Diceros bicornis minor: one gene and its partners. The protein of the gene in region 1 binds, or shares a complex with, the protein of each later gene. Links are inferred from orthologs where the notes say so. Each region holds a gene or a part of one and is shown in the gene's direction. Other genes may lie near its edges.

The links.
Region 2: the proteins of RAB11FIP2 (region 1) and RAB25 are in contact, whole or in part, in a crystal structure (PDB 3TSO), measured with the Homo sapiens proteins. The link is inferred for Diceros bicornis minor from reciprocal best matches to the Homo sapiens genes RAB11FIP2 and RAB25. Residues at the interface, in NP_055719.1 of Homo sapiens: Arg475, Glu478, Ile481, Asp482, Asn483, Leu485, Val486, Met489, Pro493, Ser494, Leu496, Arg497, Val498, Pro499; in NP_065120.2 of Homo sapiens: Arg34, Ile45, Gly46, Val47, Glu48, Phe49, Ser50, Thr51, Lys62, Trp66, Arg73, Arg75, Ala76, Ile77, Ala80, Tyr81.
Region 3: the proteins of RAB11FIP2 (region 1) and RAB11A are in contact, whole or in part, in a crystal structure (PDB 2GZD), measured with the Homo sapiens proteins. The link is inferred for Diceros bicornis minor from reciprocal best matches to the Homo sapiens genes RAB11FIP2 and RAB11A. Residues at the interface, in NP_055719.1 of Homo sapiens: Glu478, Ile481, Asp482, Asn483, Leu485, Val486, Met489, Glu490, Pro493, Ser494, Leu496, Arg497, Val498; in NP_004654.1 of Homo sapiens: Arg33, Ile44, Gly45, Val46, Glu47, Phe48, Ala49, Thr50, Lys61, Trp65, Arg72, Arg74, Ala75, Ile76, Ala79, Tyr80, Arg82.

What each region holds. Positions count from the first base shown.
Region 1 is NC_080745.1:81,036,920-81,047,017, reverse strand, and holds the start of RAB11FIP2 (rab11 family-interacting protein 2), read left to right. Parts: upstream 1-5,134; 5' UTR 5,135-5,530; coding exon 5,531-5,883; intron 5,884-10,098. UniProt on the Homo sapiens protein: A Rab11 effector binding preferentially phosphatidylinositol 3,4,5-trisphosphate (PtdInsP3) and phosphatidic acid (PA) and acting in the regulation of the transport of vesicles from the endosomal recycling compartment (ERC) to the plasma membrane.
Region 2 is NC_080743.1:59,707,019-59,717,279, forward strand, and holds the start of RAB25 (ras-related protein Rab-25), read left to right. Parts: upstream 1-4,262; 5' UTR 4,263-4,504; coding exon 4,505-4,547; intron 4,548-7,586; coding exon 7,587-7,782; intron 7,783-9,007; coding exon 9,008-9,201; intron 9,202-10,050; coding exon 10,051-10,131; intron 10,132-10,261. Other genes in the region: ragulator complex protein LAMTOR2, read left to right, coding at 230-392, 2,541-2,630, 2,871-2,927. UniProt on the Homo sapiens protein: The small GTPases Rab are key regulators of intracellular membrane trafficking, from the formation of transport vesicles to their fusion with membranes.
Region 3 is NC_080744.1:60,101,719-60,111,575, forward strand, and holds the start of RAB11A (ras-related protein Rab-11A), read left to right. Parts: upstream 1-5,640; 5' UTR 5,641-5,762; coding exon 5,763-5,802; intron 5,803-6,316; coding exon 6,317-6,427; intron 6,428-9,857. UniProt on the Homo sapiens protein: The small GTPases Rab are key regulators of intracellular membrane trafficking, from the formation of transport vesicles to their fusion with membranes.

The sequences.
Region 1 (10,098 bases):
TAGAACAGTTAAAGTAAATCAGTTCACATTCTATGCATCAACATGCATTGATTTTGTAGGGAACAAAAATTGCACAACATAATACCATGAAACCATGAAGAGGAAATCAAAAGACAGCTACACAAAACATTCTTACGTGCAAATGTGTATTCTGCTCCATAAATTCTTATGCTCCTCAACATGTCTTCATGGTCTGAAAGAGCTACAAATAATATGAATAGAAGTCATATGTATTAATTACTACAAGTGAAAAGTTTAAGGCTTTTCAAAACCACTTGCACTTCTATGTAATTTCTTCCTAATATTGAGCTGTTAGTGTCATTATCCTCATGCAGGGCCTATTAATCAAAGTTATATTTACTTCCTTTCTGTGATAATCATTTTCATTTGGGAGAGAGAGCTCTCAGGATGTCTTGAAGATTTTTTTTCCTCCTGAATTAGAGGATCCTGCATTAATAAATTACAAAAAAAGGGAATCTGCTTTAGTATCTTGACCAAATTCAATGAGATAATTGTACTGCAATTTGCTTCTTTGTACAGTGGATGTACTACTTAGAATTATTAAATGTTAGAGAATGCTTTAGTCGTTCCTATTATAGACTCTTATTTTACAGATGAGGAGACAGAGGACCAGAGAAGGAAAACTACTTCCCTAAAGATGCGTAGCTGTGATGGGCAGACCTGGGATGAAGACCTAGGCTGCTGACTAGAGCTCCTTACACTACACACCACACTGCTTCGCGCATCGCAACCGTGTCCACACGCTGCCCCATCCCAGAAGACAAACGAACCAGCTCAGTGATGAAAACAAAACAATTGTCAAAAACCCCCAATCACTAGTTTATTGCTATTATAATTTCAAATCAACTTGCCAAATACTTTCTTACTTTTTGACTGATTATGTGGAGATTAACCTATGTAAGTATCTCCAACATAACTCTGGAGTTTTGCCACATGTATACACGTATAAATTTTATATACATTTCAGCTGTCTATATATTTCAAGTATATGTATATGTGTGTGTGTGGGTGTGGGTGTGGGGGTGTGTATGTGTGTGTATCTGAAGTCCAAAGATTGTAATGATATTTTGGGAAGGCTTCTTGTTGCCCTCAGGTCTCTGAACCTCCATCAGATAACTAATTAATACCTGTTACACATTTATATGAGAGCGTTAACACTCTTGACCCAGCAGGCCATTTAAACACTAAGAGCATTATAATCATCCTACAATAGATTTGCAAGTTGTGATCTTAGAGATACTGATGCCTAAAGGGAAAAAATCTTTCACAATGCTTGAATAAGTCTGCTTATGGGACTTTACTTAAAGATGCAGCACTTAGTAAATATTTTCATCTGCGAAATCTTCCACTATTGCATAATAAATATTGACTATGTTTGCTTTTTGGCCAAATGGTTCATTCTGGTCAAATCGTTAAATTATTCATTGCGGCAGGCTTGTAACAGTTTAAAATTAGAGATTTCAGTGTTTTCCTCCCTAGGATGTATTATTTTTCCAAGCCCTTGATTTTGGAATTATATCAAACATTTCTGAAAAAATCATTAGTCATGCGATAATAAAAAAAATGACTCTCTGATTCTGGTATGTTGTCCTTATGCATGCAATTCTTCTTCCCTTTTTAAATTACTGTCCATGTATATCTTAAAATAAGTAAAGAGAATTTTTAAAACTTTAAGACAATAAACATTTTTGCAGAACCACTTTGATCCCAGATCTTATGTAAATGCCATTATTTTTCACCATGAGCCAACCACTTATTTGACCCAACTGACATGTTTTTACTCTCTTGATACAAAGATAAAAAAAGAGAAAAACACTTTCTTATAGGTAATCACTTCACTTTTACAATGCAAATCCAGATTCTATTTAGCTCATTTTTAAAATTTGTTTGTTTATTTTCTTCCTTAGGGCAAAAATATGCTATTTTCTTACTCTGGCTTACAAACACTAAGTCATAACTTCTGATCTTGCCAGATAGTAAAACTAAACAATTTTGGCTCTAGCCAGGTTCTGGGAAAACTCAAAAGAAATTTAGGTGCTACAGGAAGAGATGTTAGTAATTTCAGTCTTTCAGCTCTTGCCTTTAGAGTACTCCCTGAATTGTGTTGGAGTATGTTATTGCGTTGCTGTGAACTATTGCTGCCAATTTCCACCCTAGAGATGGCTATATTTCAGAGATGAGTGAAATGACATTTGTAAACAAGTTTATAATCATTAATAAAGCTTACCAAACTATTTAAGCTCTTTAGAAACACACATCCACTACTATAATTAACTGCCTATTGTTTATTTAATTACAATCTTTAATAGAGACTTTAAAAAATGTAATTTATAAAAATTCTAAACTTAATTAAATTTGTTCTCATGATGCTTATTTTCTTTTTGTAAGTTTCAGGTGTTAAATTATTTCTCCCCGTAGATCCTGGTGAAATTCCACCACTGACTATGTCAAGGTACTCTTTAAAAATCCCTAAGAATATTTTTCTTTACAGTTGACAACTGCCCACTCTGGGGTCCAGGTGCTATATTCACAGTATGATGATTTTGTTCTGTTTTACACACATGGCTTTTCATACACTGTCTCTCAGAGATGAAAATTCTGCCTCTTTCTTTTACATTTTACAGCAAACTTTCATCAGAATGACCTAAGACCAGGTCTTCTCATTTTAGATGGTATCTAGCTCAAGACTATTCAAGATTCGTCTGTAGTTTGGTTCCCTGAAGATCTTGGTGGTAAATTAATCCGATGTCTCTTTTTGGAATGCCTACTTCATGCAGAATTCACACCAGCCATTGTGTGTAAGCAGCACTAAAAAACTAGAGTGTCTAACAAACGAAAGGAAATCTATGGACACTACCAAGTGTCAGTGGGTCCCTGAAAAAATGTGCTGGAATCTGGGTGGTCTTCAAGGTTTGTGGTGTTGTCCTTTAGGGTCAGGGAAGCATCTTCCTTCCACAAGATTAAAATAATGTATAATGTTCTCTTCCTCCTACTAAGGTTTTTCAACTCTATGGTTGTTCTTCTGACTCAAATATATTGGGCTCTCAATGTAATGGGAAAAGATCCTTGTTTTTTAGAGTTCTCAGTGCTGCAGCTTGTATCCTGTGAACATGGGCACACTGAGAAAACACGGAGAACATAATGTCTTCCTCAAATGAAAGAGTTTTAAATTTTGCTTGAAAATAATAAACACAATACCTTACCCTTTTATGGCCATTTTATGTTGGAAAAGTGTATGCACATCTATCATATTGTTTTATTCTCAAAATTAGTCTTGTAAAGGGAGAGAAGGTATTAAGTCATTCAGTAAATTGAGTGCCTACTGCATGCTAGGCACTGTGAAGGGATGATTCATGACACACAGGCAGTCCAAAGAGTTTAGAATTTCCTTGGGAAGATAAGACATGAACAGAAATAAACACAATAGAGGAGTATATAAATAGAGGAGAATGAGAAATAGAGGGGCAGAGAGAGACTTAGAATTTTGTGCAATACTACGTTAGGAAGTGTACGTGTATTACCTCACAATACTCCTCCCAACTCCATAACAGATATTTTATCTATAATTTATGGACAAGGAAATCAAGGCTCCCAGAATGGAAGTTTCTTGCCTCATGAAGCTAAGTGCCCATCAGGAGCTTTGTACTGATTCTCTGGCAGAGCTAGGACATCAAGCAAGGTTCCTGACTCACCAGCCATTACCCATATTTTTCCCACAAAATCAAGCTATCTTCAGAAAAAGCAGAGTATTAACATATCCCCATTTTCTTCTGTTAACAAAGCCTCTCCCATTCCAACAGCTCTGGCGTCCATCAGACCTTGACCTCAGGCGCAGGTAGGACAAACGTCTGTTGCCCTTGGTGAAGGAGGCTGTTTGTTTTTCTTAGCTGACAGAATATGACCAGAGTCATCTCTGGGGCTGGCTTCCGAAGCTGGATAGTCTACTAGACTGTGAGTGCCCAGGGGGGTCCTTTTGACGCTGAGCCCATCAATCTACGATGGGGTCTTAGACACAACCGAGACCTGTTTTACCCGTGAAGAATCTGAGGCTCAGGGAGGGGAAATGACTTGACCAAGGTCACACAAACATGGTGGCAGACCTGGGGTCGGAACCAGGTCTTCAGACTCCAGTCCAGTGCCACCTGCGATCTTTATTAATCCCCGTGTTCGTTTTGGAATCTTTTATCAGCTTCCCTCTCTCCCTTGGCTTGAGTGGAGGATGTCCTTCCAGCCTATTAACAGCCTTCTCTCTTTTCAAAAAGAGAAGAGTGGATAAGGGGTTGGGGAAAGTGTGTTTTCAGTTAACGAAGGGGACTGATTCATTCCACCGCCATTCGTCCAACGCCCGCTCCGTGCCAGGCACTGGGCATCCAGAGTACAGCAGACAGCTTCCGAAGATTGAAACTGGGTCTCTCCCTAGACGGGGCAGGCCCCGGGCCTTCACTGCCTCCTCTCGGGAGCGGTCCCCCGATCTCCCCAGAGCTCCCTGCCGGCCCGTGCAGACCTCCACGTCCCCAGAGCCCAGCGCTGCGCCAGGCCGGAGCAGCGGGCGCGAAGCCACCCGAGGAGCACCAAGCACTGGGCGGGGAGCTCCCGCCGCGCGCCCTCGGTCGCCAGGGCAACCAGGGAGGTGCTGACCCCTGACCCCGCGGGCCCCGCCCCGTCGCGTTCCCGAGAGCAAGATGGAGAAAGCCAACCCGGAAGTGCCGCTGCCGCCGCCCGCCCGGTGCTAGGAACCGCCGGCCCGGCGAGGCCGGGCCCGTGCCCGCCGCCCTGCAGTCCGCGGCCCGGCCCGCGGCCCGCCGGCGCCGGGGCGGCCGCGTCCCCCGCCCCCCGTCCCACTCCACGCCCAGGCGACCCGCCCCGCCAGAGAGGAGGAGCCGAGGCGAAGGGGAGGAGGAGGAGGGAGAGGTTTGCGAGAGGGAGCGAGGCCGCGCGAGCCGCCGGCGGTTCGTATTACCGGGGTCGGGAGGAGGAGCCGGGCCGGGCCCGCGGACCCGCGCGGGGCGGGCGGGAGGCGCGGCGGGGGCGGCCCGGCCGCGAGGAGGCGGGCGCGAGGCCGGGGGCTGCGGATCTGGGCGGGCGGGCCCTAGTCTGCAGGGCGGGGGCACCCTCCCTCCTCCGCCGCCCTCCGCCCGGCCCTGGAGGCCAGGCCTCACCTGCCCGCAGGCCCGGGAGCCGCCCGCCGCCGCCGAGGGCCCGTCCCCGGGGCCGCGGAGCCTGAAGGTGCAGACGCGAGGCGCGGGCGTCCGCGCGGAGGCCGGGACGGCGCGGCCAGGTGATGCTGGGCCCCTGTGCTTCTCCAGAGGAAAGGGGACCCCCAGAGCAGCCGTGCCCCCGGGCTGCCCCGGTGAGGCCATTTGACATCGGCCCTCGGGAAGTTGGGCAGCTGTGAGTTTGCCGGTCTCTGTTAAGTGCCCTTAGGATGCAGGGTTTAAGGAATTAGGCTCCCCCCACCGGGAGGGGCACTGCCTGCGCTTGTGAACTCGCTGCGGAGAAGCAGCACAGCATGATGCTGTCCGAGCAAGCCCAGAAGTGGTTTCCAACCCACGTGCAGGTCACAGTGCTCCAAGCCAAAGATCTTAAGCCAAAAGGCAAAAGTGGCACCAATGACACATACACTATAATTCAGCTGGGCAAGGAAAAGTACTCCACCTCAGTAGCTGAGAAAACCCTTGAGCCGGTCTGGAAGGAGGAGGCCTCTTTTGAGCTACCTGGCTTGCTAATGCAGGGGAATCCAGAGAAATACATTCTTTTCCTCATAGTTATGCACAGGTCCCTGGTGGGTCTGGATAAGTTTTTAGGGCAGGTGGCAATCAATCTCAATGACATCTTTGAGGACAAACAAAGAAGGAAAACAGAGTAAGTTATGTAATTTATTTTGAATTTTGGGGGAGCTTAACTCTGTCTTATTTATGGATTTTCTGTTCTTGGAAATTATTTGTATACCTGGGGCGTTGGTTTTTGGACTGAAATATGACCCAGTTTTAAGCACCATATTTGCATGAATCTGAAGTAAAAATAGCCCTTGTGAAGAAACATTTTATAAATGGAGTCATTAATGCTCCATTACTCTATTTGTTTGAGTAAACATATTAAATAATTGAATTTTTTGCACTGGATTTTAAGTAAATTAACATCGTTTCACTACTTATAAGGGGACTGGATCACAGTGTTGACCAACGAAAACAACATACATGTAAATTATCATCTTTAAACATACAGTTTTCCGGGAAATGGAACATCAGAAAATTAAATCTGCCAATATAACATCATATATATATGTGGAACTCTGAAGCTGTCGAAAGATAAATTACCAAATTTGGAACTCTGTGTTCCATTTCATCCTTATAAACATACTTGGGTTTTATTTTAGCTCAGCCATTTTTCAGGGGCAGTACATCTTGATGGAGTCCAAAGCTGTTAAAAGAAAGTAAGTTTTAAAAGTATGTACAAACATCCTTAGCCTTGAACACACTAACATTTTCCTTTGAATTTACAATATATTGGAGCTACTATGTGACTTCAGAATTAGGTCTAGTGTGTTTAGACCATATTAAATGCTGTCAGATTGGAGACAATGGTTAATTTGTGATGAAATGATTTAATAACATCTTCAATGAAAACATGGCTTTTTAAATATGACTTTAAGCTTAGGATAGATAGATATATGCTAATTTTAAAAAACTATAATATAAATGAACACTAGAATATTATATCTTAAATTGAAAAATAGTGTGTTTTCAGAGATGGGTATACTTGCAACTTCCTTAAACTTATAATTTTTCTAGTCTGAGAGATCATTAAGATTGATGGAATTAATGAGAGAGAAAAATAGGGTTGAATTTATAAGAGGACTTGAAATTTCCAAAATAGCTTTGGTATTTCAGTCATAACTAAAATTTATGTAACCTTTTAAAAACTTGTTCATAATGATAATTTTCTTGAAGTTCATCTTAATGTCTTTTATTTTAAAACAACCATCTCTTGTTCTTTTCTCCACATAGCTTCCAGCAAGCTTCTCTTGATTGGAGTTTTTATTAAAAAATTTTTTTAAATCAGATCTTTACCTAAGGCTTAATATATATATGATAGTTGGGTAGAAAAATAAGAAATAGCAGGAATGCAAGAGGAAAAATGATAAATATTTAAGGTAATTGAGGAGATGAAAATATTTTTTAAAAAAGGAGAGGAAAAGTTTTTAAAAACGTAAAGTCGACTATGTATCGATGATTTTAATAAAACTGGTACCTACAAAGTGGCATCCAGTTTCCTCTGAGGAGTTCTTCATCAACTTTAAAATGAAAAATGGATAATTACCAAATAATTTGTTTCAAATTGCCAATGTTAGATGACACTTCCTATATAATAAAGTGTTTTGAATGTAAACTTTATATTGTAACTTCAGATTTCACACTGCATTCACAGTACTTTTCATGTTAATGAATGATATATTACAAGACTTCTCTGAAATATAAATTTTCCAAGTGAAAGTAGGCCCAACTGCGAACCCAAAGATTCTGATGAAATAAATAAGTTTTTAATGTTTCTTCTTGTTTTACTCCTTATCTTTGGTAGCATCACAGTTACAATAAATTTGGCTGTAAGCAATGCTCTAATATCGTAGTCTCCCTACAGAAATTCTCTATGGGCTCCTATATAAAATTGGTTAGAACTTTTGGGGGGAAAATGCTTTTAAATGTTATCAACAGAGCTTTTATTGCATTCAAAGTGGTTTTCATATGTTATTAAATCCCTAACATTTTCTTTCTTTGTGGATAAATGGGGACCACGTATTTGATGAGATATCTTTATTGGTAATATTCCTAGTTTTTTAATATATTTAATAGCTTCCTTTTCCAGCACAGCTGTACATGTGGCACAGTAAGAGACAGACTTGAGCCGGCAGTGTATTGCAAGAAAGATATTTAATATTCTCCACATAGCTGAACCTTGTCAGCATATTCCCAAGTGCTTTTTAGAAACTGGTATGAGTGATGAAGGCTACCAGCTGATTGAGAAGTCCCATGAAACTGCTGGGAGTGACACTTTTTACTCTTGACACTGAAGACAAGTATTTACGGCTTGTCTTCCAGCTGTGTCATGATAGGCAAAGACGTGTGACGGCTAAAGCTATTATTTTACTTATTTTTATACCTTGAAATTAATTCCCTTTTTTTTTTTTCCTTTTAAGGAGAGAGGAAAAAGGGCCTGAGCCAGAACGCTTTGAGTGGGGCCAGAAAGAGAACTTCTGTATCTCTCTTGAATGGGTGTCTGGGTTGGTTCTGGCAGGAGATTTAAGGAAATAATACAGTGTTTAATAAGAGAATGGTAAAATCGTTCATGCTGTTAGGTAATATCTATTGATTTTTTTTACAACAGAAGTGGGTGATGTTGATTTTTTTTTTAATGCTCATGAAAAGTAATAACAGAGTCCCTAGAGTTAGGTATGACTCACACACATGCAGGTTTTAGGACTTTTGTGTGCGTCTCTGCAGTACACCTGCGTCCTGGCCTCTGGCACCCTCGCTGCCAATCTTGTCCCATTTCTGACCACACAGCACCAATTGCTTGGGAATAGTTCCCACATGTGTGGTGGTTTTGAACATGGACCTGTGCCCACGAAAAGTTGAACAGAGGCCATATACAGTTTAAATCCAGCACTCAAGAAGTGAAAAAAATCAGCATTAATCCACTAAGCCCTAAATGCTATGTCTTCATTTTATCTTTTCGAAGCCTGGGAAAACAAGTACTATCTCTGGAATGATTCTTGAAGGTCTCGTTAAGACTTCCCTATTATATCGCTTTCTGTTAAAGCAGCTATAAGTTATTTGTCATGTCCAAATTTTAAATTAGTATATTTGTTAAAGTTCTTTGCAGTTTTTTTTTTTTTGGAGGGGGTAGGATGGAAAATATACTGTATTTACAGTTTGCATTTAAACACTGACTTGCTTTATTCTTTAAAGCTTACCTAAGTCCTTAGCATTCCCTACCAAAAACCAAAACAACGCAGCACACCCAGAGTTGTAGCTTGGTGGTTTTAAGAATATAGTTTTAGAAATAAAAATTCAATAAACGTTTATTTAGTGCAAGGCAAACCTTCAAGGAGCTTACACTCCAGCAGGGGAAAGCCTACATTGCCTTCCTCTTTTGCTGTCATGTCTCAATGAAATACAGTGTCCTGTAATGTAGGACCAGCTGTACGGTTAACCTTATTAACATGTGGTTCATCAAATACGAAAGAACTTCTGTTTTCTTGCAGATATTATTCATTAACTTTGGATATTTTCCTTATTGACTTTAATCTGACATTGAGAAGTTACTTATTCTCTGTGCCTCGGTTTCCTCATCTATGAAATAAGGATGTTAAAGTAGATGATTTATTTGGTCTTATTTGTAAAATTCTGTGAGTTTTGATTACCCTTACCCCTGTCCATTTATTGGGTTATTGGTTTATTTTTTTTATCAGATTTGCTTTGATTTATTGTATACGTGGAAATCCTACATGCTTGGGTTTTTTGTTTCGTTTTTGGCACATTTCTTGGAAAGTGTATTCACCTGTGTTCTGTAAGCCTGAGATGTTGCCGAGTTTCTCACGTACCGTCCATCAGAAGTATTTCTCCCCCATTGAAAGTGATTCTCTTTTCCAAAACTGTTAATAACTGGGTATATAACCTTGTTTTATTTCCAGGCTGTTTGAATGCTTAATTTTTTGTTCAAGGTTCTCTCTTGCACAGAGTTTATTGCTGTCATCATCTTATTGCTAGTCCCTGTGTCTTCAGCTTTCACCATTTGCCTCAGATAAGAACTTTTCTCATTTAGGGTCTCAGGTTAATGCTTTCTATTATAAAATATTTTATTTTTTAAAAATTGCTTATTTTGATGCAATTAGATCTTAATTGATTGAATTGCTCCAAATTAGTCAAGAAAATATTTCTCTTATGTATTACTTGCTAAGATGTAGCTGGTAGATACATTATGTGCTAGTTTTCTCTCCTGCCTGGAAAGACCTGTGAACCAGTTTTCTGCTTGATGTATATAGTGAATGTAAGCTCTTCCAGCGTTACTCTGCTGGTA
Region 2 (10,261 bases), on another chromosome or scaffold:
GGGTAGGATCTCCGGGAAGGGAGGAGGTGGCAGAAGGAGCAGGGCAACAGGCCGGGATGGCTCCTCTCGAAAAGAGAAACCGACGTGGTGGGTGCTCGGGGCATATCCCAGGACACCCTCAGCACAGACCCTTGCTTTCTGGAAGCGCCGGTGGCGGGAGTTGGGACGGAAATTCAGGCATTTTACTCCGATCTTGAGCATGTCACTATCCCTCCCCGTCCCTTGCCAGGCTGCTGAATAACGAGGGATCTCTTCTGGCCTACTCCGGTTACGGGGATACGGACGCCCGGGTTACCGCAGCCATCGCCAGTAACATCTGGGCCGCCTATGACCGGAACGGGAACCAAGCGTTTAATGAAGACAATCTCAAATTCATTCTCATGGACTGCATGGTATGGAGAGAGGAGCTACTTCCTCTGTCCTCGAAGGGGATTCCCAGGGGGCGACCCGGACCCCATCCTGGATGGTTGGAGGGGCAGGGACAGGATCTCTGGAAGATTACTAAGAGTTGGTCTGCAGCAGCATTTATAATAGGCAGGACCCTATGCATCAAGTGGTGGTGAGGGAGGAGCCCTGGACCCGAGGTCTGACTGGGGTTCTGGTCTCAGCCAGCCACTAACATTTGTGGAACCTTGGGTAAGTCACTTAACCTCTCTGAGCTTCCTTAGCACACCTCTAAGGGGGAAACAATACACACAGGGTTGTTGTGAAGATCAAATGAAAGAGTGGATATAAACCGTAGGATGATGTACAGACACAAAGTGTTGTCATCCCAGATTCACAGACTCAGGGAAGAATGGCACAGTCTCCAGACACTAGTCCAGTCCCTTCAGTTTACAGAGAAAGCAGATGAAGTCCAGAAAGGGGAAGTGGCCATTAGGCTGTGAACTTCTTGGAAACAGAAACTGTCTCACTCACCTTTGTATCTGTTCAGTCAACAAATTTTTAGGTCCCTGCAATGTTCTCGGGACTTGGAGAAAAGTAGCAAACAGGACAGACAAAAACTATTTATAATGAAACTTAGTCTTAGACATGCTTTAAAATAAGTAAAATATGTATGTTTTGTAAAATAAGTGTGTAAATATGTTTTACAAAATAAGTAAAATATGTATATAAGTTAAAAAAGTAGTATGTTAGGTATTGAAAATGCTGTGGAGAAAAATAAAGCAAGGAAGTGAGATAGAGGCGGATGTGTGTCAGGGACAATCTCATTGCAAAGGTGACATTTCATCACAGATCTGAAGGAAGTTGGCAAGCCATGTGGCTGTCTGGAGGAAGAACGTTTCTGACAGAGAGAACAGCAGATGCAAAGGCCTTGAGGCAGAATGCTGCCTGGTCAAGGATCAACAAGGTTGATGTGGCTGGAGTGGCATCAGAGTGGCATGGGGAGGTTAGTAGGAGCAGAGTCCAGACAGGCAGAGAGTGTAGCACCTGGTTCCCAGCACTCGCTGGATACCTAGTGAAAATTTGCTGAACCAAATTAAAAAGGCCTCAACAGGGGCCGGCCCCGTGGCTTAGTGGTTAAGTGCGCGTGCTCCGCTGCTGGCGGCTGGGGTTCGGATCCGAGCGCGCACCGAGGCACTGCTTGTTAAGCCATGCTGTGGCGGTGTCCCATATAAAGTGGAGGAAGACAGGCACAGATGTTAGCCCAGGGCCAGTCTTCCTCAGCAAAAAGAGGAGGATTGACAGATGTTAGCTCAGGGCTGATCTTCCTCACACAAAAAAATAATAAATAAATAAATAAAAATAAAAAGGCCCCAAGAATGAACTCTCCAGAAAGGAATTCCACTGTAACTCAGCTGCCTACCTCATCCTTACCCCCTGTGCAACCAAGGATGTCATTTCAGTTCAACTGATGACTCCTCCTGGGTGCCTAGCTTAGAGCTGGTGCTTTAGGGCAATAGCTTTCAAACGCTTTGATCACAACTGGGCCAAAGGAAGTACATTTTAAGTCAGAGCCCAGTGCACATATATACCCACTAAAACAAAAGTTTTGCGAAAAAGGTCTCGGCTTACAACATGCAATGCACTTCATTTCTCTTCTTTTTTCTTTTAATGCTGATCACCTTCTTAATTGATCTCCTAACCCTGGGGTCAGACCTGCAGTTTGAAAAGCATTACCATGGGAAAAGAGGAGAAGCATAAGTTGGGTTACTGCTCTCAAGCCCCTTACATTGTTTTGGGGTGAACCCATAATAATAATCTCACCCATTTGGACAGCCCTTTGCAGATACAAGACTCCTTCATGTGTACTGGCGCCCTCACCAGCTGGGGTGAGGTTGGGGTTACAGAAAGAGAAACGGAGTCCCTGGGAGATTGAGTTTCCCAGCGTAACTTGGTTAGTAGGTGCCTGTGCTGAGGCTGGAATTGGGGTTCAGGACCCCATGTCCAGGGCTGTGGCCAAAGCCCCACTGCTGAAGCTCCTGCGTGTGCCCAGGGCATGGGAGGAAGATAGAGTCTCTCTCAAGAGGAGCCCTTGGGGAAAGAGGGGGCTAAGGTGCCAAGCCGAACATCACATCCCATGATATTGTCCCCACCAGGAGGGCCGTGTAGCCATTACCCGAGTGGCCAACCTTCTGCTGTGTATGTATGCCAAGGAGACTGTTGGCTTCGGAATGCTCAAGGCCAAGGTGTGTACATGCCCATCCCTCTGCAGTCCTGGGCCCAGCCTTTGTGCTCCATCACTGTCTGTTCCCATCCCCACCACCTTCCTGCAGGCCACCTGTCACCCAATCCATGTCTGGTGTGGGCTAACTCCCAGGAGCAAGCGGGGGCTGGGAGGGGGTGCTCAGCATTGGGTGTAGACCTGGATTTGGGATCCCTCTAGGGGCAGGCCATGTGTGGGACTGATTCTGCTCTCCCTTCTGCAGGCGCAGGCCTTGGTGCAGTACCTGGAGGATCCCCTCACCCAAGTAGCGGCATCATAGTGGGCGTTGGTGGAAGCTGGAGTCAGAAAAGAGAGATGACCACTGGGAGGGGCAGGGCCCCCTGGGGAAACCTTCCTGGACTGTGGAGGGAGGGTGGGACTTTGTTTTTTCCAAGAATAAACTTCAGCTCCTGTCTTGTGTCCTGGCTGCTTTCTTGAGTGGGAGCAATCAGAGGAGATAGAAAGGAGCAGGGATTTCTTATAGGATTCTTCATGTGCTGCAAGGATGGATTTCCACCCATTCCTTCACCAGGACCTCCAACAACCCAATGGTTTTGGGCAGTGATGCCTCACTCCCTTGGCCTCTCCCGTGGTGTGACCTCCCCTGGTCCCTGCCACTCAGAGCAGAATCTCACCCACCTGATGGCAAAACCTTGGGCGTGAGCTCAGAGGTGCAAGGGGCTGGTGGAAGGTCATGTTGAACAAAGAGAATATAGGGCCCTGGGAATTAAGTGTCCTTCATCCTGATTTTGAGGGGTGGGGGAGCTTTTCTACTCTTGGGGTTGGGAGAGTGTCCCCTAGCTGCCTACAAGGGGCCACTCCTTTCCTCTTCTGCCAGGCATTCACATGCTCACATAGACCTTCTCCAGATCTTGCAGCCCTTTGCAGACAGGATGGCTTTGTTGTGAGGCTTCAGGTCCTGGAGAGGGAGTAAAAGAAACCCAGAAGACCTCTCAGAGGGCTTCCCCTCCAGATTCTGCCCCTCCACTCAGACTCTTCACCCCATCTGGCTGTTTCTGCCCCAGGTCTCCCCATACCCAGTGTCCTTAAGAGCAGGTCTGGATGGGGAGCTACCCAGTGCTGTAGGAAGGGACCCATCCCAGAGAAGAGGTAGGTTGCAAATTCCAGCTCCACCCAGGGTGAGACATACTGCCCGTCCCAGGCCCTGGGCTGTCAGGGAGGGGTAGAAGTTGCTGTATGGGAGATGCAGCTCCCAGACCTCTGCACGGCAGGGTGACTGGCATCCCATCAGCCCCAGCCCCTTGCCCCAACAGCCCTTGCCATGGTGCCCCCAGATAACCCCTGCAAGGGCTCTGAAGGAAAAGCAGGCGGTCAAGTAGATTTTTGCTCCCTGAGAGGCTATTTCTCACTCGCTGGTGGCTGGGCCCCCTGGCCACAGGTCTCAGGAGCCTAGACATGCGTACTCAGTCCTCAGCTGGCTCTCTGAAGGCCCTGTCCTTGTCCCAGCTTCCCCCACTGTCACCCTCTGGAGCCTGCTCACCTGCTTGCAGGAGCCCAGGCTGAGAGCACACACCCAACCTGTCTAACCTGTCTGACGTCATCGTCTCTCCACCCACCTGGGCCCCAGGTCTCCAGTCGCCCTGCTCTTCCTGTTCTCAGCTTCCGTCCTCTCAGCTTCCTTGCAGCACCCCCACCTGCCAGAGCTGAGCCTCCCTAGGCTCTGCCTAGCCTCGAGTCGGCCCCCAATCCCTCTGGCTTGCAGAAGTTTCTTTACCTCCAATGAGAGGAGGGGCGGATCCAGGTCTCTTGAGAACTGAGGGTTGAGGGCGTTGAACTAACGCATAGACCCGTCATCTCTGCCCTTGAAGACACTTGTACCCTCCATGCGGAGCCAAGATGGGGAACGGAAACGAGGAAGATTATAACTTTGTCTTCAAGGGTGAGTTGGGGTCCATAAAGAGAGAGGAAGCCTGAGAGAGACCCAGAAAGAGACCAACAAACCAGAGACGGCCCCTTCCTGTTTTTTTATCTCTTAGCAGGACCCCCCAGGGCTCATCATTCCTTTGGATAAGAAAGAAAGCTGCAGGAGGTGAGGGAGGGTCTGATTACAGGGGCGAAAGTCCTGGAGCTGCTAGAATGCTCTACTGTTGTAAATAATGATGGTGATCACTCCTTAATAGTGTCGAGTTAGGCTCCTCTGCCCCATGCCTAAAGGAAGCCCAAATCCCTAGGAATAGTCAGCCACTGCAGCACAAGAGATGGAGATCAGACTTCAGAGAGGACTTCCCTCCTGAGAAAAGGGGAAACAAGCAGACTTAAAAGAAAGAAAGTCATCTTCCTGGGAAGATGTATAGGAAAGGAGAGATCTATTTCATCATAGGGCTGAGTGAAGACATAGGGAAGCTGTAACGATTTGGGAGCAGGGTCTAATAGGATCCAGAGGACTCCTAGGGCCATGGTCTTGTCTGCTGTCCCTTGGCAGACCCCTTGGGCCCAAATACCAGGCCCTGGGTTCCACTTGGCTGTCCCTGGAAGTGTGCGTGTTTCTTTCCTGCTCCTTTATCTCAGCCCCTGTGCTTGGCCTCTCTATTGTTCCCCACTCCCCATGCCACCCCCACCTCCACGCCTCCTTCTGGGCAGGGTGGATTGGCGGAGCTATGATTCCCTGTCCTGCCACCCCACCCCACGCCTCTCCCAGCCTCAGCCCCACCCTCTCTCTGGCTGGGACTCTCAGGCATCTGGGGTTGGGGAACCTGTAGTCCCGGCATCCTTCCCAGGAAGGGGAGGCCAGGGAAGGGCTAGCAATAGTCTGGGGCAGTACGACCACTAGTAACTACTGTTTATTGAGCCCTTAGCATGTGCCAGCCGCTAGCTCATTAATCACCATAACAACCCCCAAAAGTTATCTTCCATTTTGAAAGCATAATGGTCATTATAGCATCACGGTCAGGAGCCAGACTGAGTTCAGATCTCAGCTCTGCCGCTTACTCAGTACTGCAGGTTGGGGTCTCCAAAGCAGACACTGACAAGAAGTTTGGGGTATAAGATGTTTATTATGGATCAACACCAGTGAAAGGAAGGGGGAGGAAACAGGACTGGGCAGGAAGCAAACTGTAGCGCAGAATCACAAAGCCTCGGCCAAGGGCAGCGAGCTCTGTGATCCCCTTACCTTGCTCCGGCACTGGAGGTGGGGGGCTGCCCGGGAAAGGCATGACCTCAGGTACAGCTGCTCTCTGCACCAGGAGCACATGCTGAAGGAGCTGACAGCTGGAGGCTGTCTGCCAACTGCACTGTCTGCAGCTGGGGGCCAGTCCTTCCTTGAAGCCGGATCCAGGCAGCACACCTCTGCGTTTACCACGCTAGCTGGCTAGCTGTGTTACCTTGTGCAAGTCATTTAACCCCCTCCGTTCCCTTGTCTGTAAAAATGGGATGAAAATGATAACGGTACTTGCTTCATGCCATTGTTGTGAGGATTAAATGAATTAATATGGGTAAAGCCTTTAGGATGGTGCCTGGCACGTAGTTGGCACTCAATCAGTGTTAACAATTAGTATCTGCATTTTACAGACGAGGATGAGACAGAGTAAGTAGCTTACAAAAGGTCACAAAGTCAGTATTCAAACCCAAGTCTGTCTGACTCCAAAATCCTTGCCCTGAGAAGCTGTTGGGCCTGAGGGTAGGGCTAGGAGCCCACCCACCAGAGGGATGAGATGGGGATGAAGTTCCCAGTAGGGGAGAGGCAGGAGCACACACACACACACCCATAAGCCTCCCAGCTCTTTCCTGTCCTACACAAATAAGGAATTTTTAAAGTTGGAGGGGGCCTTTATAGATTTTATACACAAGGAAACTGAGACCCAGAAAAGGTGAGCCACTTGTTCAAGGTCACATGGCTAGTCAGAGGCTGAGTGGGGATCAGAACCCAGAATATGTGGCTCCCAGGGCACCAGCCTGCTTTTCCAGAACCACTCTGGGCGGCCTCCTCTAACCCTGGATGCTCAGCTCAGTGTCGGTGCAATTTATGGGTCATACTTAATCAGCCCCCTACACTCTCCCCCAGCCCCCAGCTCACCCACGGTAAGGCTGGGCCCTGGATGCTGCCCACCAGCCCAAAGGCTCTTCACGGCCCCTCTGATGGATCCTTGTCCCTGAAAACCTGAAAGTAAAAGCTCTGGCCTACCAACAGCAATCCCAGCAGTAACAGTTTTGCACACTCACTATATCCTGGGCAATATCTCATTTACTTTTTGCAACAACTCATAAGATAGTCACTATTGTTATTCCCATTTCTCATATGAAGAAGAAAGTCAGAGAAGTTAAATAACTTGCTAAAGGACACACGGCTGGTCCAACACCCAGCCCTATGGTCTTAATATGCAAGACTGCCCCTCCTTGGGGACAACTGGATCCTAACTTCTTACACACCGCCTGCATACCTTCCCCCCACCCACACACGTGTCACTTGCCAACTTTCTCCTCACTCACACTTCTATTCGCGCCTCTGCTCCCATGCAAACACACACACCAAACCCCCCACTTGTCCTCCCAGCTCATATACATAGAAACGTGCTCAATGTTCTCATACTCCCTAGTCCAGAAATGTGCACCCTCCCCCCCAGACCTCCTGCCATCTCTCTCCGCATTCACACACTCTGCTAACCTCTCCACACAACCCCTGAACACCAAGACCCACAAACAGCCCACAGACATCACTCCATCAGCAGAAACCCAGGCTAACTCTGCAGCCCGTCTCAACAGACCAGCCCAGAACCCTTAAAGCCCCTCAGCCCATTTCAAACTCACAGATGCATCACGCAGATTTGCAGACCCCAGTCTCTGCTCCCTCCTCAGTTTTCTGAGCTCAGCTCCCCTTTACTGGCGGGCAGACTCTCCAAGCTCAGGCGGCAGACTCTCCAAGCTCAGGCGAGCTTAGGGCCGCTCTGCTCCAAGCTCAGCCCTTATCTCTCCACTCCTTCAGTGGTGCTGATCGGCGAGTCAGGAGTGGGGAAGACCAATCTGCTATCCCGATTCACGCGCAATGAGTTCAGCCACGACAGCCGCACCACCATCGGGGTTGAGTTCTCCACCCGCACTGTCATGCTGGGCACCGCCGCTGTCAAGGCTCAGATCTGGGACACGGCTGGCCTGGAGCGATATCGAGCCATCACCTCGGCGTGAGCCCGGGGCTGGGGGACTGCTGGGGTGTGGGGGTGCTGGGGAAGTCAGGGAGCACCTCTGGAGGAGAGGTGGAGGAGGAGGAGGAGGAGGCAAGGGCACTCAGCAGTGTGCTCCGTGAGTGGCATCAGTGGGCGCCATGGCTGGTTGAGGAGACACAGTACTGTGAGCCACAAAGAGTCTGAGACAGGATGTAGCGATGCTGACTGCTGGGACTAAAAACAAGAGTCATTGCCACCACTTGAAAGTCTTTGCTCTGTGCCCAGGGAGGTACAAGGCACTTTACATGGGGCATTTTGTGTCATCCTCAAAGTACCATGGGAGTAAGATGCTCCCATCAATCCCTGTTTAAATACAAGAAGCTGGGTGGAGCTGGGATAAGGGCAGGCTCCCCAATTGAGAGTGCCCCTCACTTCTGCACAGTGCTTTGCCATCTAACCACAAAAGCAAAGGGCTGGACCCCTCAGCTGCACTTTACAAAGACTCAGAGGACACAGAGAAAATTACGCCACATGTGACACCATGTGCAGAGCGCCTCGGAAGCAGCATCAGGCCAAATGTGAGAAAGATGGTCTGTGTGTGTGTGGTGCGGGACAGTACCCTCCAGCGGGCAGGGAGCAAGAGTCAGGGGCTTCACTACCCAGCAGCACAACATACTCATCACTCTTGGACGGGTCACCTGACCTCTTATGAGCCTCAGTGGACTCATCAGTAAAATGGGAGTAATTAGATATCACCAAAGAAGCTCCATCTAACTCTAGGAGTGAGGCTGGGTTCTTGCAAGGATGCCTCAGATGGTCAAATCAGGGATCGCTGCATGGGGTAGCCATTTAGCTAGTTCTAGAAAGATGGCCACAAGAGAGAAGAGGGCACTGTGGGTCAAGGAGCCACGTGAGGAAGATCTTGAAGGTGGAGCTCCCAGGAAGCAGATTTGACCAGAGCTCAGGTATGCATTGGTGGATGGCAGGGGCAAAATCAGAACAAAGGAAGGAAGTAGATGGGCTATGAAGGAAGACGGGAGCCAAGATCAGAATCCCTGGAGGGTTCTCAGCATGGAGCACGGGATCCTTGGGCTGCCCTATCTGGGTTTGGATCCCTGGACCCAGTTTTCATATTTCCCAATCTCTGGTACTCATCTCTGGCTTTTTGGCTTGAGGCTCTGCTCTGAGGCTGGGCCTGTCCTCCCTGACTTTGCCTCTGTCCACCCCTCTACCCCCCACACAGGTACTATCGTGGTGCGGTGGGGGCCCTACTGGTGTTTGACCTAACCAAGCACCAGACCTATGCCGTGGTGGAGCGCTGGCTAAAGGAGCTCTACGACCATGCTGAGGCCACTATCGTCGTCATGCTGGTGGGTAACAAGAGTGACCTCAGCCAGGCCCGGGAGGTGCCCACTGAAGAGGCCCGCATGTTTGCCGGTGAGAGCCCATCGCGACCCAGTGTGACCCCTCCAACCCTACCCACGCAATCCCAGCTTCTGCCTCCCCAGCCCCTGCTCCCACCCTAGGGCCCCAACCTGGACTTCCTCCATAGGATCCCCTACCCCCATCCCTTCTTCCTCAGGATGTCCAGCCCTTCCCCTCTGTGACCTTGTGTCCCTCGTTATGTCCCACCACTTGCCCTGAGATTGTCTTTAGGGGCAATTATTTATAGTTGGTTTTAAGACAGCCCCACCCTGCAACGCTCAGAGATCCTAAGTGTAGCTGGTGGGCTCCCCTTGACCATCTCCAGTCACATTTTCCCTGGGAGTTTTCTGGGGTTTAGAGGCAGCAAGATGTAGTGGTTAAGGGTGCAGGCTCTGGGGTCCCACGGCCCAGCCTCACATCCCTTGGCCTGCTACTAGATGTGGGATGCTGAGCAAGTTCTTTAGTCACTCTCTCTGTGTTTCTGGGCTTCAGCTTCCTCTTCTACAAAAAACGGATAGTAGGGCCAGCCCTGGTGGCCAGTGGTTAAGTTCGGAAGCATTCCGCTACAGTGGCCTGGGTTCAGTTCCCAGGTGTGTACCTATACACTCATCTATCAGTGGCCATGCTGTGGCAGTGGCTCACATACAAAAAGAGGAAGATTGGCAGCGGATGTTAGCTCAGGGTGACTCTTCCTCAATAACAACAAAAAAGGGATAGTATTCAAACCTACCTCAAGGTTGTTTTAAGGAATAAATGAGCTACACATGCCCAGGGTTTAGCACATAGTAAATATTAAGTAAATATTATTATTATTATTGCCTTTAACACCCACAATTAATGATGTGTTTCCTTTTCTGCCAGAAAACAATGGGCTGCTATTCCTGGAGACCTCAGCCCTGGACTCCACCAATGTTGAGCTGGCCTTTGAGACTGTCCTCAAAGGTTAGAGTCCCTGCCTCCATTTGGCACCCCCATTCCATCCCTGGGTGGTGGTAGGAATGCAGACACCCAGCTCTCACCCCAGCTGATTCCTCAGCCCCTTTATGGGCCCCCAACAACCTCAGAGCCTCCC
Region 3 (9,857 bases), on another chromosome or scaffold:
AAGGGAGGTATGTCTGTCCTGGGCATTCTTTCTGAGGCCTAGGGAGTATATTCAGTCTTTCAAAAACGAGGTAGGATGGAGAGGTGATGTTCATGGGTATCCTACCCTTTTCCCGTCATAAGCCCTGGCCTGGCCTCTGGCTAACCCTTACTATTAACTCACGGTTCTCAACCTTGGCACTATTGATACTTTGGACCAGATAATTCTTTGTTGTGGGGGAGCTGTCCTGTGTATTGTAGGATGTTTAGCAGCATCCCTGGTCTCTACCCACTAGATGCCAGTAGCACCTTCCAGTTGTACACTAAAAAGGTCTCCAGACATTATCAAATTCCCTGGGGGAAAAGCTGACCCCTATTGAGACCCAATGCATTAACTGAACATTTACTATGTGCCAGGTATGATGCCAAGAGCTGCAAATATATTATTTCAGTCTTCACGTTTATCCCCATTTTGCAGATAAGGAACTGAGCTTCAGCAGGATTAGGTAAATTATGAAGATACAGCAAGTGAATGGCTGAGCTAGAGTTAAACACAGACCTATCAGTCTCCACGCTGTTTTAAACAACCATGTAAAGTTGCCTCCCAGGCTGTAGAGGATGGGATATATTCCAGATCTTGCTTCTTCTACATATTCTAAGGCTAAGACATTTCTAAATCTAAATTCCCAGGCTTTTTGCTGGATATTTCCTTTTGGTTTTCCTACTAACTGTTTAAATTAGACATGCCTGAAACTCAAGTCAACATTTTTGCTCTTTTTTTGCTTTTTCTCCTCACCTCCATTTTTCTAGTGATCTTTCTTCCAAATAGATATTAAACCTCAGATCTCTCTGATTCCTTTTGTATCTTCATAGGCAGAATCTCATATTTTTGTACATTCTGTCCAAATTCTATATTTCATTTCTGAAAAAAGTATTTTTAATGATTAGTAATGAAACCCAAACAAAACCCCAATATGAATCTTTTGGAACTTAAGAAGTTTACTCTAAGGTTCATCTGAAATAGAGTCCCTAAAAATAGTCAAAGTTTAGAAAGAAAAAACAGTGAGAGGGAATTGCCGTATTTATTTTTATTTATCAAAGGCAAATGGTTCCTACTATGTGTCAGGCACTATTCTAAGCACTATACAAATATTTACTCATTTAGTACCACATATGAGACATCAAAATGGACTACAAAGCTATAATAAGCAAAACAGTGTGACACTGGCATAGGAATAAAAAACTTGACCAATGGGACTGTATCAGAGTCAAGTCCTCTGGAAACAGATACCAGATGAATTGGAAGTGTAAGAGATTCATTTAGCAGGAATGCCTGTGATGGACAAAAGGGAGAAGTAGGGCCTTCAGACCACAAAGCAGGTCTAATAGCTATGCAAGGAGAGAGGAAAGGAAGGATTGGGTAGGAAGAGCGTCAGACTGTAATTGCATTCTGAGGAAATTTCGGCCAGGCCAGTGGAGAGCTCAAGAGCAAAGACTGCCTATTAGAAGAGCCCCAATCTGTACAGAAGTGGTCCAGCTCTAGAACCCCCACTGCACTCAGTCGTTGTCTGGGAACATTCCGGAGGGAGCATGGCTTCAGTGTGAACATTGTAGTGGATCTTGGAGGTGTGGTAGCTGGACACTGTCAGCCAACCACACAATAGGCACAATAGGCTCTCTCTTCAAAGGACATCTGAGCAGTGTTCCTCTGTCGTTGCCAGAGGTATGGTGCAAAGATTCAAGAACAGACTCGTTTATATATGTGAGATTCATTTATAAAAATTTAGGCATTTCAAATCAGTGGGAAAAAGATGGACTATTCAAGTACATATTGAAACAATTGGTTATCCATTTGGAAAGAATTAATTTAGATCCCTATTTCACAGCATCCTCAATATAAATAAAATCCAGATGGAGAAAAAAATTATAAAAATATTTTTTAAAAAAACATTTTTTGAATCATCTTAGTGTGGAGAAGCCTTCTTACCCAAAATGCAACAGCCAGAAGCCATAGAAGAAATGACTGAGAGGGATTTGAGTAAATAAAAATTTAAAACTTCTGTATGGACAAAAGCATCATTAATAAAATTAAAAATCAAGTGATTTACTTAGAGAAAATATTTGTGCCATATATAACAGGCAAAAGATTAAAAGGTAGAATATATAGAGATCCTCCCCATTAATAGGAAAAGATAAACAACCCAACAAGAAAACGGACAAGGATGTTGACAGGCAATTCACAGAAGAAATATAAACAGCCAATAAACATAGGAGAAAATGTTTACACTCACTGGTTATCAGAGAAGTGGAAATTATTAGGCACACCAGACGGGCAAAAATTAAATATATTGCTAGTATATTTTTATACTAGTATATAAAATATTGCAGAGTAGCTGGGAAAATGAATATTCAGCTTGTCCAGCCTCTAATGGGGAAATGGGCAAGGAAGAAACAGCTTAGGAATAGGTTTTAATTTAGCAACCCTCAGTATCTGCCAGGTCCATGGGTAAGGGAATGGGAATGCTTGTACAAACTATGGTACATCATTGTTAAGGAAAACTATGCAACAAATGAGTTAAACCTGTATGGACTGATGTGGAAAGATTTTTCAAGGTGAGAAATGGTACATATAACGTGATTTTATTAAAAGAAAACGGAGCAGTTATCTCTGGGGTTGGAGGAGGAATTGAAGTGGAGACTTTAAGGATTTACTCTATATTTCTGCATTAAAGTAATTTACATTAAGTACCTATATTTCTTGAGAGATTAAAAAGAGATATATCAAGGAATTACTACTCATTTTCCCCAAAGAATGTAAAACCCTAATTCTCTTCTTTGTCCGTGGAATCCATTTACCATTTTTTCCACAATAGCCTTTGCTTTTTCTTTCTTCTTTAGTCCCTTAGCTATACCCCATTTCTATTAGTTTGTGCCCGGTTAATTGCAATAGCCTTCTAACTGATATCCACACCTCCAGTCTCTTCACCCGAGTCCTGCAGTCCACAGCCAGCTTAATTTTCCTAAGACAAGGTTTACTTCAATCACTTCTCCACAGATCTTTTATGGCTTCCCCAAAGTGTTTAGAGGGGTGCTAACAGGTGTTCCTTGGGAAAAGAGTTCTGGGGTCTGGTGAATCTGGGAAATGCTGTGTTCTACACAGTTAAAAAAAGATTTCTTCAGAGTGGAATATCTAGACTTTAAAATGCCAGTGTGCTAAGGGAACCTCTAAGGTGGGGAGACAGTGTGTAGTTCTTCTCAATTTATTTGACCATGCAATCCTTTGGAGGAACACTACTGACCTTCTCAGGACACACGTTGAGAAACAATGACTTAAGGGGAAAAGTTATAATTATTCTTCCGGCATTAATGGCCTTGCTCAACATGTTCTTATCATCTAATTTCCTCCACTTCCGAAAATGAGTTTCCTTCCTTGCTTCTTCCTTCAGGGGTCAATGCTAGTTCCTCCTCCGGGGAGTTCTTCATAACTATCTCAGTCTCTGAACTGTGGCACTTATCACCAGAACTCTCATTAGTTACTCCTTCAGAACTGTCTAGTTATTGACAGTCCCCTTTTCTTGGGCCCATCTTGTCTACCCACCTGAGCAGTGCCAGGACTGTGTTTTATACATAATCTGTAGTACACATAATATTTAGCTGCGTGAGTAATATTGTGCATCTCCCCCAACGTGGATAATGCTCACCCCTGCACAAGGCAGTATTTAGACCTTAGATAAACCTTCTATTGCTTTATACTGTGAGAAAAAGCCCTGAAAATGGCACTGTATTAGTTTTCTATTGCTGCTGTAACAAATAACTATAAACTTGGTGACTTAAAACAACAAAATTTATTATTTTATAGTTCAGTAGGTCATAAGTCTGACATGGGTTTCACTGGGCTAAAATCAAGGTGTCAGCAGAGCTCTCTTTCTTCTGGGGGCCTTAGGGAAGAATCCATTTCCTTGCCTTTTTGTTTTTTTGTGAGGAAGATCAGCCCTGAGCTAACATCCACGCCAATCCTCCTCTTTTTGCTGAGGAATACTGGCCCTGAGCTAACATCTATTGCCAATCCTCCTCTTTTTTTTCCCCCTTTTCTCCCCAAAGCCCCAGTAGATAGTTGTACGTCATAGTTGCACATCCCTCTAGTTGCTGTATGTGGGACACCGCCTCAGCATGGCCCGACAAGCAGTGCGTCGGTGTGCCCAGGGGCCGCCAGTAGCAGAGCACACGCACTTAACCGTTAAGCCACGGGGCCGGCCCCTACTTGCCTTTTCCATCTTCTAGAAGCCTCTGCATGCCTAGGCTCCTGGCCTCCTTCCTCCATCTTCAAAGCCACAAGGGCTGATTGAAGCCCTCTCACACCACTTGACTCTGACCTCCTCTGCCTCCCTTTCCCACTTTTAAGGACCCTTGTGACAACATTAGGCCCACCTGGAGAATCCAGGATAATCTCCCTATTTTAAAGTCAGTTGATTTGCAACCTTAATTCCATCTGCAAACTTAATTCCCCTTCGCCATGTAACCTAACACATTCACAGTTCCTAGGGATTTGGAAGTGGACATCTTTGAGGAGCCATTATTCTGATTACTACAGGCACCCTTACCCAAAAGCCTGAATTGTGGGTTTGCATATTGGTGGTAGGGGGTGTGACAATAAATGGGAAAAGCTTTTTGGAATGACAAAACTCTCTTCAAAGACAGGGATGCCCTGCTGCGTGATCTCTGGCAAATCACTTGAGTCTCAGTATCTACATTTTTGCTAAAATGGAAATTGCCATCCTTTGCTCTGCGTGTTAAATGAAATAATTATGTAAACGCGTTTGGCTTAGAGGATGACAAATAGGGCTCAAGAAGTTCTTGAATCTTGATGAGGAGGAGGGTGGGCGAAGTTCTCTAAATGACATCTGGAAATAGTTTGAGAGATTTCCGGAGAAAAGGAGTGAGTGAAAAGCGCCTGCCCTGGAGTAAAGTCGGAGGTTGAAAATTCTAGCAAAATAAATCCAGTTTCATGAAGCTTTTGAATTAAGTTTGAGGCAGAGGGCCCAGGTTAAAAAAACGGCAAAGTGAAGAGGCTCCTTAGGAGCCATCAGGTGACATAGTACAGAATCGAAGGGGGTAATCTGTCAGCTCTTCGCAGGCAAAAATTATATTTGTGAAATTCCCTCCCTATTTAGTTCAAGGCCATCTATACTGTAGCTGTACAACAATCACTAAGTGAACAAATGAATTTATAGTGTGGTCAGGAAAAAAAGCGAACAGCGCAGGTTCCACCGAGATTTGAACTCGGATCGCTGGATTCAGAGTCCAGAGTGCTAACCATTACACCATGGAACCGCTACGCAAAGACACCCGCCTTCGGCTCCCTAATCCTTTATGAACCCCGCCCCCATCCACAAACCCACCACACCGCGGTAGAGCCGAAGCGCTCCCCAGCGCCCCGCTTCCCGGCGTGGCGGAGCGGGGAATGAGGAAGAGGCCGCTAAGAGTGCGGTCAGCTAGGAGTCCAGGGTTTAGTTTCCCCCATGAGCCTCCTTGAGGGGGTGAGAATTTGAAGATCGACGCGATGCTTCCGCCCACCGCCCTTCCTGGGCTCAGGGGCGGGGCGCCACCTCCCCGGAAGTACTTCTCCTAAGGGGTTGGGGCCTGCCGGAAGTGGCGTAGCGGCAGGGAGGGGTTCTTTACCCGGTCCGGCAGCTGAAGCTCGGCGCTCGGGTGGCCCCTGCAGCGACGCCCCCTGGTCCCACCGATACCACTGCTGCTCCCACCCCTTCCCTCTTCGGCCGCGCCATGGGCACCCGCGACGACGAGTACGACTACCTCTTCAAAGGTGAGGCCACAGGCTCGCCCACTCTCCACCCAGTCCCCTTTCGGGGGCCCGGGACACTCCCGGGGGACCCGCGTGCGGGCCACCCCTGCTCTGAAATCGGCCTTCCTCAGTCCTTCCTCTCCCTGCGGTTTGTCCTTAGGTCTCTCGGCTCAGCCCCCTTTCCTCCTCTCGGACAGGGGTCCTCACCACACACCGGTCTCTTCGCGACTTCCCCGCAGGCCTTCTGTAGCCTCAGGGCCCCTCACCGAGTGTCCTTCTGCCAAATCGTCTTCTTCCTTTCCCGGTTTCTGTCGTCCCTTTGGAGGGGCCGCCCCTCCCACCGTCTGTCTTTTCGGGTCTGCTGCCCCTCCCCCTCGGTATACACCCTTCCTAGCTGCTCCCCTCCCCGAGCCCCTCTGACAGGCCCTTCCCTCCGCTCCCCAGCTTTCCCTCGGCGCAGACTCCCACTTCAGGTCTTTTTCTTATCCGCCGCCCTTTCCCCTCGAGCGAGCCTCTGCTCTGCCTGTCTTCACAGCCCCTCTTCTCCGACGGACGCGCCTGCTAGCCGTAGTCTTCCGTCGCGGGGCCGGGCCCGGGTTAAAATCTGAGCGGGCCAGAGGCCCCCACCCGCCCCACCGTACTCGCGGTCAGTAACCTTCTCGCACTGCCCCCGGGGTTGGTAGCTCTTTCCCCTCTACCTTCCCTCCCCACATGGTTTAGAGCTCCGCACGTCTCCTGTGCGACCCCGAGGGTGGGGGGTAGGGTTGGAGGGATTGGCCATCACCCACCCGCGCACTTGTCGCAGTGACCCGGCCTACTGATGTGACTTCCCACCTAGTCTTTTTTCTCCCACCCTCCCCACCCAGCGGTAGCCAGCCCGGGATAACTCTTGACTCTGCTCGCGAGAAGGGGTTGCGGATGGGTGGTGGCTGTTATCCTTGCCAGACCTGAAGGCCCAGTTCCTGAGCAGGAAAGGTTGTGCGCTGCACAAATACTAGCCTGCTTTATCACTATGGACTGGTTGCTTCCTGCTGCAACACTGGGAGGATCCAACCTTTTGGTGTTTTTAGAACGGGAAAGGAAGAGTCCTAGTTAGCCTTATGCCTTTCCCAAAAGGTGGGGGTCAGGGGGGAAGTTTTATGCTCTTTGGTCAAATTAAATATTTATTATAAAGTAGGGAAACATGTAGTGCCCTTGGACAAAACATATTGGAGGATGGGGGGTGAATAGAAAGAATTGCTTGTAGGTTAGGTCCGGAAAGAATCCAAATAGTTTTTTTTTTTTTAATCAACAAAGATAAAGAGTACAGTAAATGCTTTTTTTGTTCTGTGAATGCGCTCTCACTCTGATGCTCTTTCTCTATTCCTGAATTAGGAGGGCAGCCATCAGTAGTATGCTGAACAAAGATCATTACCAGGGAGGAAGAAGCCATTGCTATTGAAGCTTTACATTGGAGGGTGGAGTTTAAAAAGAGTGTTAAGCATGGTGATTGTTTCTGACTTTGCCATTGGGTCATAAGAATGATTGACTAAACAAAGCAGGACACATATCTTTGCTTTACCAGTACTTTGCAAATCTTAGCTGAAGATATACCCTTATCACCACTTACTGCTCTGGGCTAGAATATTCTCTTATACAAGGTGAGTATCTTCAATATCCACCCCCACCTCCCATAGTGAAAAGTTCTTTACAGAGGAGGGGGTACTTAATGCATTTTACAGATACAAAAAGGAAACATGGCTTACTTTGCATACTGTTTGCTGAAGGCCTCTGAGGTCAGGTGAAATTACTTAGTGAGACCCTGGAGACTAGGGTTTAGTCATTAAAGGGAGATTTTTTTTTTTTTTTAAATAAGGTACGGTGGCAAGTGACAGCTAGCTATCTTTGAAGTAATTTAGAACACGATAGACTATCAGAGTATTTCTCCTGTTTGGTTTGGAACTTGAATGTTGGTTATAGAAGCCATTTATTTTTTTCACTAAGATTATTAATTGTCCTGGATTGATTTAAGGAATTTTAATTTATCTTTGGGATTAGACCATCCTAACTAATTGAGAGTACAGGGCTTTGGAATCACAGAGGCCTGGATTCAAATCCTGACTCAGGTCTTAAATTTGCTTTGTAACCTTGGGAAAGTTAACTTTTTAAACTTCAGTTCCCTATCTATAAAAAGGAAATAATACCTACCTCTCCAGACTGTTGTGAGGGGTAAATGAGACTGGCTGTAAAATTTTAGCTTCTGTGAGGACTCAATAAATGGTAATAATATGAAAGAGATTATTCTGGTTCTTGTCAGTTTTTTTTACCTTAAATCTTGATAAATGTAAGAACATTTAAGTGTTAGTAAAGAAACTTAGAACTAGGAACTTCTGAAGTATTTTATATTTCCATGAGTTATGGTTTCATCTTGTTGTACATTTTGCAGTTTAAGATAGGGTGTTTAAAAAATTCTGCTGAGGAGGATTTCCACTTTTTTAAAGCTCTTACAGGATATGAGTCACTTTGTTTTTTACTCAGTGCTGATTATTTAGCCAATTTCTTATTTATACAGTTCTCATAATTTAAAGCGAAGCAACAATAATTTCATTTTCAAATGGTTTCATTCTACAGAGATTTATTCACCAAGATGAGCTGGAGCTCTCTTGGAAGAAGGCTTACCTAGCAAACTTAATAGTTGAGGGAATTGGAAGTTAGTTTGTAACTCTAACTAGTTGCAAATGAAAAGATATTTTGATTAGTATAGGATGGAGTAGTCCAAGCAGGAATGTAATGTGGGGAGAGCAGGACAATTATTCTAAATTATGTTTTTGTTCTTGAACATTAATCTTTAGTTAAGCTCAACAGTGAGTAACTTCTGGTCGGGAGGAGTTAATTTTATTTTTTAAAACCTGACTTTTTATTTTAAAAACTTTAATTCTCGGGGCCGGCCCGGTGGCGCAAGCGGTTAAGTGCGCGCGCTCCGCTGCGGCGGCCCGGGGTTCGCTGGTTCGGATCCCGGGCGCGCACCGAAGTACTGCTTGGTAAGCCATGCTGTGGTGGCGTCCCATATAAAGTGGAGGAAGATAGGCACCGATGTTAGCCCAGGGCCGTCTTCCTCAGCAAAAAAAGAGGAGGATTGGCGGATGTTAGCTCAGGGCTGATCTCCTCACAAAAAAAAAAAAAAAAAAAACTTTAATTCTACAGGTATTTACGCACAATGTGGTTAAGGCCCTGTGGGACACATAAGTGAAGTAAGCACCAATTATAGTTCGTATTTACAGATATTGTGGTAGACACCAATCAGACACCAATCAGAATCACATTTTCTGAAAATATCTGGATACATAATCTACACCATTTTCTTTTCAGTCTCCTTGAAGGTCAGTAGTAATTAACCATCAGCTGATTGTCAGTGGAAACAATGGTAGGAACTTTGCTGTATTGCATCTTGGTAGTTTTTCTTTCACAACTTTTGGTTGAGCAACTTACATTCTGCTGAATCTGGAAAAACTTGACTTCAGCCGTATTGAATGCATTTTATTTTAAAGACTCTTGGTGGTGGTGTACAATGCCTATAGTTAGGAGTAGAAACATCTCCAAGTTTATTTATAAAAACGGGTATGTAAATTATCAGTTATTCCTTCAGGTGATAACTTTTAGGTCTGATGTACTATGATTGATTTGTTGAATTAAATTTTAGTCCATGCATTAGTTTGCAAGAGAGTGTAAAAAACTAAATGTGGTTGAAGAGGTGGAAATTTTTATTAAATAATGCTTAATTAATATGTATATTCTGTTTTTACGGCATTTAGTAGCCTAATATTTGATATATAATGAACCAAATTTAGTATTAGGTATTAGAGATGATAACGTAAGATTCAGCAGATGAAGTTTACCAAGTGGTAATAAATATCAGATTACTTTAGAAAGGCAGTAGATGTTTCATATATAGATGCTGTTATTTAATTTATACCCACACACACATATATATAATATAGATGGCTGTAGTTATAAAATGTTTAAAATAGAAGATAGTAGTTATGGAAAACATGGAAAAGTCACTGCAAATTCCTTTCTTGAACTGTAGGATGTGATTA